3 linked regions of the Nothobranchius furzeri genome follow. The main gene of each other region encodes a partner of the protein of the gene in region 3 in a complex. Links are inferred from orthologs where the notes say so. Each region holds a gene or a part of one and is shown on either strand. Other genes may lie near its edges.

The links.
Region 1: ppp4r1l (region 3) and serine/threonine-protein phosphatase 4 catalytic subunit B share a complex: the UniProt entries of both Homo sapiens proteins name them as parts of the PP4 complex. The link is inferred for Nothobranchius furzeri from reciprocal best matches to the Homo sapiens genes PPP4R1 and PPP4C.
Region 2: ppp4r1l (region 3) and ppp4r4 share a complex: the UniProt entries of both Homo sapiens proteins name them as parts of the PP4 complex. The link is inferred for Nothobranchius furzeri from reciprocal best matches to the Homo sapiens genes PPP4R1 and PPP4R4.

What each region holds. Positions count from the first base shown.
Region 1 is NC_091758.1:11,563,333-11,566,987, forward strand, and holds part of serine/threonine-protein phosphatase 4 catalytic subunit B, read left to right. Parts: intron 1-1,963; coding exon 1,964-2,065; intron 2,066-2,158; coding exon 2,159-2,332; intron 2,333-2,425; coding exon 2,426-2,552; intron 2,553-2,740; coding exon 2,741-2,930; intron 2,931-3,655. UniProt on the Homo sapiens protein: Protein phosphatase that is involved in many processes such as microtubule organization at centrosomes, maturation of spliceosomal snRNPs, apoptosis, DNA repair, tumor necrosis factor (TNF)-alpha signaling, activation of c-Jun N-terminal kinase MAPK8, regulation of histone acetylation, DNA damage checkpoint signaling, NF-kappa-B activation and cell migration.
Region 2 is NC_091742.1:16,618,886-16,622,540, forward strand, and holds part of ppp4r4 (serine/threonine-protein phosphatase 4 regulatory subunit 4), read right to left. Parts: intron 3,624-3,655; coding exon 3,502-3,623; intron 3,432-3,501; coding exon 3,309-3,431; intron 3,140-3,308; coding exon 3,000-3,139; intron 2,923-2,999; coding exon 2,803-2,922; intron 2,733-2,802; coding exon 2,655-2,732; intron 2,583-2,654; coding exon 2,499-2,582; intron 2,385-2,498; coding exon 2,211-2,384; intron 2,128-2,210; coding exon 2,022-2,127; intron 1,931-2,021; coding exon 1,783-1,930; intron 1,675-1,782; coding exon 1,530-1,674; intron 1,451-1,529; coding exon 1,412-1,450; intron 1,338-1,411; coding exon 1,266-1,337; intron 1,204-1,265; coding exon 1,140-1,203; intron 1,066-1,139; coding exon 991-1,065; intron 1-990. UniProt on the Homo sapiens protein: Putative regulatory subunit of serine/threonine-protein phosphatase 4.
Region 3 is NC_091743.1:58,792,570-58,795,433, reverse strand, and holds the end of ppp4r1l (serine/threonine-protein phosphatase 4 regulatory subunit 1), read right to left. Parts: intron 2,776-2,864; coding exon 2,634-2,775; intron 2,517-2,633; coding exon 2,371-2,516; 3' UTR 603-2,370; downstream 1-602. UniProt on the Homo sapiens protein: Regulatory subunit of serine/threonine-protein phosphatase 4. May play a role in regulation of cell division in renal glomeruli. The PPP4C-PPP4R1 PP4 complex may play a role in dephosphorylation and regulation of HDAC3.

The sequences.
Region 1 (3,655 bases), on a different chromosome or scaffold from region 3:
AGTAAAAAACACACTATAATTAACGCTTTTTCAGTCTACTGTTTTTAATATAAATCTGACTCACAACTAAGGTCCCACATTCGTTACAGTTATGAACAACAAGTAAAGAGGGAGTGGGATGACCGCTGGAATGTCCGTCAGATTCAAAACCGGTTGCACAGCAGCCCGTCTGACATCAAATACACAGCTCTGCTTGTGATTGCACGCTCATAAGTGCATTCTGGAGGCCACGGTTTTTAAAAACACCAGTTTTCTCGTATTTAACTAAACAATTACACAGACTGTTCCTTATTTACTAGACAAATAAGGAGTCAGACGCAGCAGGAGCGTTATGACCGACTGACCTGTTGCTGGCCTCGGTTCAGGTTGCTGCACCATGTTCTGCCGGGCTCGGTGCTTTGATGTGAGGCTTGTGTTCCGGGAATGAAATAAGAATAAAATGCTCCCAAACTGCTAACCACTCCATGATTGAGCACAGTTGTTGGGTCATGTGACGAGCTCATTTAGTCTAACATATTGTGATAGCAGAAGGACTTGAAGCAGTTAACCTGGCAAACTATTTTACCTGGTTACAACATTAACGGCTATTAACCGTTTAACTAAGTACATCCCTGGTTCATAGAGCACGGGCAAAGGTCTGTGTGTGTCGGGGTGGTTTAAGGTTAACTGACCATTAAAGCTTCTTTCTGGAGTATTTCTCTTATCCGATGGCACCATCTACAAGCTTATCACACAAAATCGCTGTTCCTCTGTTTTTTTAAGCTTCACGTTCCTGTTCATATATGTGCTTCTGTAGCCGACAAACGGCTAAAACACGTTGTTTTCAATTCAAAAATACTTTATTAATCCCAAAGGGAAATTGATTGCTGTAGTAGCTCAGAATAATAATAATAATAATCAAGTCATCAAAGAGTTATTGTATATTACAATGGCTGTTGGCAGGAAGGATCTCCAGTAGCGGTCAGTGTTGCAGCCAAACTGAAGAAGCCTCTGACTGAAGACACTCTTCCGTTGTCGGACAGTCTTGTGAAGAGAATTATTTTACGAGTATTATTGTCATGTTGTGTTTTCATATATTTATATTTTAGAGACTAACTTGTCCGTGAAAAGTTCATGAACTCAGCATCGGCCGAGGTATTCCTTAAATGTGAAGCGTCTAAGCGGTAGTCTAATGCTATTGGTTAGTTCTGGCCGGCGCTCAGTTTCCTACTGCACGGAGCTCTGCGGGGCAGGGGGCGTGCTTGGCAAAAAAAAAAAAGATGTATCGCTTATATTATATCACAGTACATGATGAGATCATCACTTCTACGGATTTCAGAAAAATCATTCATTGTTTCTGAAAGGGGAAAACTCCGGAAAGCTGCTTTAAGCGTTAAAGGTGTCAATAACTGGTTAAAGAAATTGTAGAAAACGTGCATCCCCTTTTAATACCCAAGAATTGAAGTTTTACAGTATTCTGTGTTTTAACGTTACTGTTGGCCAATAAGGCGAGATGTTTCTATCGTAATATTGAGCCTTTATTTTTGGTCCACCACGCCTCAGACAAACTCCCTGTGAGACTGTTTTCACACAGAAAACGAGGCTGCATTATTGAAGCTGTCAATGGAAATGCTGCTTGGGATTTGTGTGTGTGTGTGTGTGTGTGTGTGTGTGTGTGTGTGTGTGTGTGTGTGTGTGTGTGTGTGTGTGTGTGTGTGTGTGTGTGTGTGTGTGTGTGTGTGTGTGTGTGTGTGTGTGTGTGTGTGTGTGTGTGTGTGTGTGTGTGTGTGTGTGTGTGTGTGTGTGTGTGTGTGTGTGTGTGTGTGTGTGTGTGTGTGTGTGTGTGTGTGTGTGTGTGTGTGTGTGTGTGTGTGTGTTAGTTTGGAAAAGCGATGCGACATGGGGTCACTGCCGACTTAGCCTATGTAATAGCCACAGCATGAACTGTTGAAACCAATAAACTAGATAAAACCTTTCCTGGCAGGTTGGTGGCGATGTTCCAGAGACTAACTACCTCTTCATGGGTGACTTTGTGGATCGAGGCTTCTACAGTGTGGAGACTTTTCTTCTGCTTCTAGCTCTTAAGGTAATTCTGGTCTTTGGTTTGTTTTTCACTCTTTATGACATTCTTAGTTCAAGTCATTTTCATTCATCTTTTGACCCTTGTTTGGCACCTCAGGTGAGGTATCCAGACAGGATAACTCTAATCCGGGGAAACCACGAGTCTCGACAAATTACCCAGGTCTATGGCTTCTACGACGAGTGTCTTCGCAAGTATGGCTCAGTCACCGTTTGGAGATACTGCACTGAGATATTTGACTATTTGTCCCTGTCTGCTATCATTGATGGCAAGGTGAGATATGGACGAGTTATTTAAATTTTCTGCATCTTTTTGTATTATTTTGGGTGTCGGTCTCTAAAGTTTTGTGTTTTCTGTGCATCTCAGATCTTCTGCGTGCACGGTGGTTTGTCTCCCTCAATCCAAACATTAGACCAGATCAGGACCATTGACAGAAAGCAGGAAGTGCCCCACGACGGACCCATGTGTGACCTTTTGTGGTCAGACCCTGAAGGTATCTGCAGGCTTTTGCTCTCTGAATAAATAGTGTGAGAGTGGCTTAGGGATGAGGAGTTTGCCCTGTAACTGGTGGGTTGCTGGTTTGAACCCAGGCTCTGTCTGCATGATAAACACTCATGTTGGTGTTACAACTGAACATACAACAGTAAGTCTTCGTGATCCTATGTTTCCTGTTTCTGTCAGACACCACAGGGTGGGGCGTGAGTCCCAGAGGGGCTGGCTACTTGTTTGGGAGTGACGTGGTGGCGCAGTTCAATGCTGCCAATGATATTCACATGATTTGTCGAGCACACCAGCTGGTGATGGAGGGCTACAAGTGGCACTTCAACGAGACGGTGCTCACTGTGTGGTCTGCACCCAACTACTGCTACAGGTGGGTAGCCAGGTTACATTGCATTAGTCGTTCCACTAGCAGAGGATGTAGATTACAGCACACAGTGGGAAAAACAATAACCTGCTGTTTGTCCTTCAGCTGTTTTCACACTTAAAGCAACATATAAACTTCCTCGCTTTTCATTCCTTCTGATTAAAAGCTGAATTAAAACCCAGCTGCAGCCTGCGGTAGCTAGCGCTTTCCCCAAAAAGCTGTCCCTGCTAAGAAGCCGCACAGCTCTGTATCTCCCGTTGCTGCGTGTGAGGTTCTTTAACCTTACCAGGTTTGGGTCCACTTCACTAAATGCGATGGCTAGGAATGGGAACCTTTGACCTTAAAATCAATATGGTACAAACTCCCAGTACCTACTACTGGTACTTAACAGTACCAGTTTTCTATACTTTTGAGTGTTTAATAATTATTAAAATCGCTTTTTTATTAAATATATATATTATTTTCCCCATATATAGCCATATTTGATGAATAACATACAACAGTTTGTATTTTATCATCGTAGTGTTGTACAAAATTCTTCAACATGAAAACTTTTAACAAGTTACTAAATGACGCAAAAATAAAACCAGCTCCATGGACCCTGATCCTCTCCTCCGCCCTCTGGAATAACTCTGATGAGGAGACCGTGTGTTATAAACTACAAATGAAACTAAAACACACTCCGATACCATACAACAGTTTGTATTTTAATATTGTGGTGTTTCACAAAC
Region 2 (3,655 bases), on a different chromosome or scaffold from region 3:
CCATTATCATCATCATCATCACCACCACCATCATCACCACCATCATCATCATCACCACCGTTGTCATGATCGTCATCATCATCATCACCATCATCGTCATTATCTCATCATCATTATCATCATCACCACCACCACTATCACCATCATCGTCGTGACCATCATCATCATCACCACCACCACCATCATCATCACCACCATCATCGTCACCACCATCATCGTCACCATCACCATAGTCATCACAGTCGTCACCATCATCATCATCATCATCGTCATCATCACCATCACCACCATTATCGTCATCATCATCATCATCGTCACCATCATCATCATCATCATCACCGACATCATCGTCACCACCATCATCGTCACCATCACCATAGTCATCACAGTCGTCATCACCATCATCATCATCATCGTCATCATCACCATCACCACCATTATCGTCATCATCATCATCATCGTCACCATCATCATCATCATCACCGACATCATCGTCACCACCATCATCGTCACCATCACCATAGTCATCACAGTCGTCATCATCATCATCATCACCATCATCATCATCATCGTCACCATCATCATCATCATCATCACCGACATCATCATCATCATCACCATCATCACGGTCTGTATTTGTATAGCACCTACTTAGAGTTATACAACCTCCCAAGGCGCTTAACGCCACAATCAGTCATTCACCCATTCACATCCTGGTGGCGATGAGCTACATTGTAGCCACAGCTGCCCTGGGGCGCTCTGACAGAGGCGAAGCTAAACACAGGTGCCGCCGGTTCCTCCGACCACCACCGGCAGGCTAGGTGGGTTAAGCGTCTTGCCCAAAGACACAACAGCAACATTTTCTGGTCAGAGCCGGGATGGAACCTGCAACCTTCTGATTACTGGACAACCCGCTTTACCTCCTGAGCTACTGCTGTCCCATCACCACTATCATCATCATCTTCATCACCATGATCATAATTGTCTTACTGGAGGACGAGGCTGATGTAGACGAGGACATGGACATGGATTTGGTGATGGACAGACTGGTCTTATTGTCTCTTCCTGCCAAAGACAATCATTGATGTAACTGAAGTTTCAAACATCTGAGATTTTGTTACCACAAAGTTCTAGCTCACGTTTTCTCTCTGTGTGATTATTGGGGATCCGTATCCCTTCGTTTTGCTGCCGCTCCAGATGTTCCTGGTGAACGACACATCTGTCATAAGGATTCGGGCAGCACTAGCTAGAATTCTGAGACTTACCATCTCCAGGAGCAGCATTTCCTCCTTTTCTTTCTTCTGGTCCAGGAAGTCCCAGTCATGTCTCTTATGGAACTGCAGGCAGATAGGGCACATCAATCATCACACATATATTCACTATTCTGGTGTTCTCTGATCCGGTTTCTTACGGGCTCGGTCAGGTCCAGTTTGTCCAGTTCCAACACCGTCTGAAAGATTGGAGGAGTTTAGTTAAACACCAGACGTGTTACAAGTTCCCAGTATGGACTGGTCCAAGGTTGGAGTTACCTTTCGAATTGTTGCCACCACATCTTTATCTTTTTCTTCGCAGAGGAACTTCTGGACACACAAGTCGAGTTTCTGCAGCAGCAGTTTGTCCGCTGGCAGGCGGAGAGAAGACCGCAGCTGTGGCAGCAGCTGACAGAGCTTATACCTGACAAGAGGAACAGACGACCCAGTCCAAAGGGGAAAATTCAAATACACACTGGCTTTAACTCTGGGGATCTTTCAGATCCGTGTGGGATAGAAGTGAGTCCTCTACCTTACATTGGCGACTGGGTCATGCACAAGCTCTAGCGCCGGGATCACAAGGTGCTTGCTGAAATATTTCCGAGAGAAAACTTCAGCGGCCACTTCACAAACATCGAGAAACCTGAGCCGGTTCCAGTAGCTGTGACCCTGTGCCAGATCTAAGGTCAGAAAAATACAGATCTCAGCTGATGTTCTGGAACGTCTGACTTAACATACCAGAAGAGTGGTATGCAGAAGGACCGCTCTGACCTCGGAACAGTCGCTCCATCATCTCCTGCCGCTGTTCCTGTTTGCGATTGTAGCGCAGAAACGTGCAGAATGTCCGCGCAGCCTCCTTCTGCACCGGCAACACTTTCTACAGCCGAGGAGAAGCAGAGTAGAGTTACCTGTGTATCACCGGGGTTACCTGAGATATCACGCGAGGCAGAGGATGTTCACGTTGGTTGTGAGGATGATGAAGATTCGAGGGCAGAGGCTCTGGTGCAGCAGTTGTCCCGGCAGAAGTCTTGCCAGACACCTGTAACGCTGGAGCAGTTTCTCATGAAGCCTCCAACGTAGAGAAGATCCGACCTTCTGCTCCGCCGACAGCAGAGCCGACAGAAGCTCAGAGAGCTGTGGAGAACCGGGAACCAGAAGACAAGAGAAACATCCCAGGGAACCATCATAGGACAGAGGGGGTGGACCATGAGCCATGAACATGACTTGGATCAGTTTGGGTTTTCTCACCTTGTTGTCCAGCGTGAGATTCTCTCCACGAGACAGAACCACCTCAAGAGTTTCATCTAGCTGATTGCTCAGAGCATCCAAAACCTCAACAGCAGAAACAGCAGTCAGAACCGACCCAGTTCCACCAATCAATGAATCATGAGAGCAGCCTCTCACCTCCAGAGCTTCATCTTGCAGCAGCGACAGAAGCTCTTTGTGGACCAGGTAGACATTCGATCCGAGCAGCTTCACCACCTAAGAAAAGCAGTCATGTAATCTAACAACAGACAACCAATCACAGAAGGACAGGAGTGATGTTTCTCACCTGGTGGAAGCTGGAAGCAGCACTTTGTCGGACGCTGACCTCTGGGTCGCTGCAGAGACTAGAGAAAGGCAGGTAGAGGTCGGACAGGAAGTGGATGGATTCCACAAACACCACCATGGCCTGGATGAGCAGAACAGAGAAGAAACTCAGCAGCTGAAGGACCTGAGAACGGTACGGTTTGGTGAAGGCATGAGTACCGGCAGGTTGTAGCAGCAGTTAGAGCGGATCAGAGCAGACTTGGTGCCATCTGCTGGGTTCCCTTCAGTTGGAAGTCCAGAGACACACAAAACACGAAACTTCTGCAGCAAGACACACTTCTGCTCATCTGACAGGAAACCTGAAAAACAACAACCTCACTTAGAACTCGGGTTCTGATGCAGAAGCCCCCGAGCCCAGTCTCAGCCAGCCTTTACTGCTTCTCTAAGCCTAAAGCAGAACCAAACCCCTTTTGGTTTGATGGTCACCTGGGTCCAGAGGTTCTGTGGAACACCAGCAGTGAATCTCACCTGCTAGTCCACTGCAAAGCTTTCCAAACTGGAATGACAAGGACAACATGACAGCTTCATCCACTTGCGATGATCCGTCGCACACTGCCATCACCATGGGAACCAGAACATTGAGTCGGTCCTCTGAGGAAGAGGCAGGACTTCAGCATGAGCACTACCAGAAACAAAGAGTTCTGATTCTGCCCAGACTCACCGCTGTCCAACATCTCCATCAGGTTGATGATGCTGTCAAAAGCAGCCACTCGGACGCTGCTCTCCTCATCTCCAGCCAGCTCCGCCAGCTCAGGAAGAACTTTGGTTCTAGTGTCGTCCACCCTGAAGAACAGACCCAGCCCATTGAGTCAGAA
Region 3 (2,864 bases):
GATGAGCCAAGGTAAGGCAAGGAAATGCCATCAGAGGAGCCGTCTGCCTCGGCAGCATCACGTCTTCCACAGCAACTAAGGCAACATGCTCAGAGGAGGGGGAGCATAAACCCCCACCTCCACTTACTGTAAACACTATAAACACAAAAATCCATGTTTTTCTTTCTTTTGAATCCGACTTGAAAATCTAAACATGTATGACATTCTTAAAATGCTTATATTTAAAATTTGACATGTAAAATCTCCCATAAAGATTATTTTTCACGTATTAAATTGTCTTTTGACAACATTCTGAGAAATTTGTAGCCAGAGTGTAGTAAATCTTTCTTAGATGGGACAGCTGCTGCTGGCTGCAGTGTATTTAGCATCCATTTTTGTCTATTAAAAACCAGGGCTTGTCACACAGTAAAACATGCTGGAGTTCCTGAGTATCATTCAGGACACATTTTCCTTTTATACTAGGTCTACAAGATGAAAATATAGAAAATTTGTTTGTTTTTAGAAACACGTAATTTGTATTTTATGTTTTTCTTTTTTGACATCTTAACTAAAGTTATCTGAACCCAACAGCTTCATCACCACCAGATGAAACATCGCACACACTTATTTCCATCATTTTAATTACAGAATACTAAAAATAACATTACATAAAATGTCTTATTAAAAGAAACCATTGAATATTACAAAGATTGCAAATTTTGTAAAGTTAGGATATAAAATCTTTGAGCTGTGGTGCATAATTGAAAAAGAAAAAAAAATCCATAAAATGTATATATTAACTGTTCTACTACATAAAAAATGAGATGGACACACATTGCAGACAGACGAGATGAGCCATTACTGCGGCGAGCTCTCCTTTCTAAGGAAGAAAGACTTGAGATGCACAGCAGCACACACCACAATCAGCTCACGTCCTCAAATTATGCTCATGAGAGGGGAGGACAAAAAAAAAAGGGGGGGGGGGGGGCATTTACAACAAATGAGCTTGAGACTAGAGAAACAAAAGTGACTTGGTGACAGCTCCCAGTATTCTCACACTCACACGCACACACACACACACAACTGGCCTTATTCATTAACACACTTTTTTTCCTCTCCACAGGTTTAAGCTATACAAAAAAGTGAAACAAATCTGATTTATACTCAAAGCTGTTCCACCAAGACGGGGAATCTTTCAGCCTCCCAACAGCCCCTACTATGTTCTACTGTACAAATGGTCAGCCAGATCCACTGAAAGCACCCGTGGCCACGATGTGACAGAATGATATCAACATTAAAGAAGTGGTAGAAACGATACACAGCAGTAGGGATGGAGGGGGAACATGCATTATCCAACAGTGTGCTTGCTTTCTTCCTCCTCTCAGAGTTTGGAATCACCCTGTGTCAGTTCATCATGAGCCCTTGTGTTTTTTTCTTCCCAAACACCACAGAATCATGTCAGAAAATAACAACCAAAAAAAAAAAGCTTTAAAAAGTCACCGTCTGAGGACATTCAGAGCCTGTGTGATCACAGTTGTCTCTCCACGTGTGCGACGCACTGGCCGGTCATGTCCAAACAGAGGTATTTTATCAGTCTCCCGTCACCTGGGAGACGCACTGCGTCACATTGTTTTGGGTTATCAGACACAGACGGGGGAAGCAAAAGTTTGTTAGGTTTCAAAACATCAAAGAGTAACAGAATCATCGTTCTTACTGTGCAGCAGCAGTGGAGTTTTTTTGTGTGTGGCCCATAAAGATCAGGTGAGGGGAAAAGACAAGAGGACGTCTCAGACGACAACATGTCTCAGAGACGAGTGACCAGCAGAGCTACTCGTTTTTGGCTGGTCTGATTTTTTCTCCACGCTGGCTCCAGCAGTGTGAGCTTAATAATGCTGTTTAGGTTTGGAGTCCCCCTGAGTTAGTGTACGTGCCTAGTCAGGCTTTGTTTGTTAAGAAACCCACAAAAAAGAAAAATTAAGAAAAAATATCTTTTAATATCCATTACCAAGCTTAGTATGAGCTTTGGAGAGCAAGTCTGTGGCGGGGTGGGTGTTAGTTGGAGGGCGGGGGGCAGAGATCGGTCTGAGCTAAGGCAGCCATCAGAGTCGAGCTCGTGTTCCGTTAACTTTGTAGAAAAATTGCTTGTTTCTGTTGTATTAATGTGCGCTTTGTGTTGCCCAACCAGAGACGGGGGGTGTGTTGCAGGAAAATGCTTAAAAACAAACTTCTGGCATGATTCCCAAAGAGGTGGGGGGGGGGGTCTGTCTGGAAGGCGAGGGGTTGGAGTGGGTCTGGTTGGGTGCTGGTGTCGAAGGTTAAGCTGACTGTGCATCAGTCAGTCAGACAGGTAAGACAGGCAGGTGAGCTGTGATGGGGTTTTAGGCGGCGAGGCTAAATCAAAGGAGTCGTGTCCATTAAGCCTTTGTTTGGGTCCAAGCTGGCAAAGAACCTCACGTCGCGGTCCTTGTCAGACTGCAGAGTCATCACTGTCTCTTCAAGCTCGTCGGAGTAGGCACAGCCCGGCTCCTTGAAGTAAGCTGGAAGGAAGCAAACGGGAACTTCGTAACAAACATTATCCTCTTTTGCTTGTGCAATTCTGAGCTGAGGATGTTTTACAAGCTGCATGTCCCACACCGGGTCTATTTATAGATCACCTTTCTCCATGACGCTCTGTCGTAAAGCCTTGGCCACCAAAACTCGGACGTTAGCCACCGGATCAGAGGAGAGGCTGAGGAGGCTGGGCAACAGATGCTGGCTGAACTGCTCCATGGGCATGCAGTCCTCCTCAACCACGGCCTGCAGGGAGAACCACAAAACTATCAAACTCAGACAACTAGTGGAGGGGGGGGGGGGTCAACTATTGTAACCACAGGAGAACATTTGTC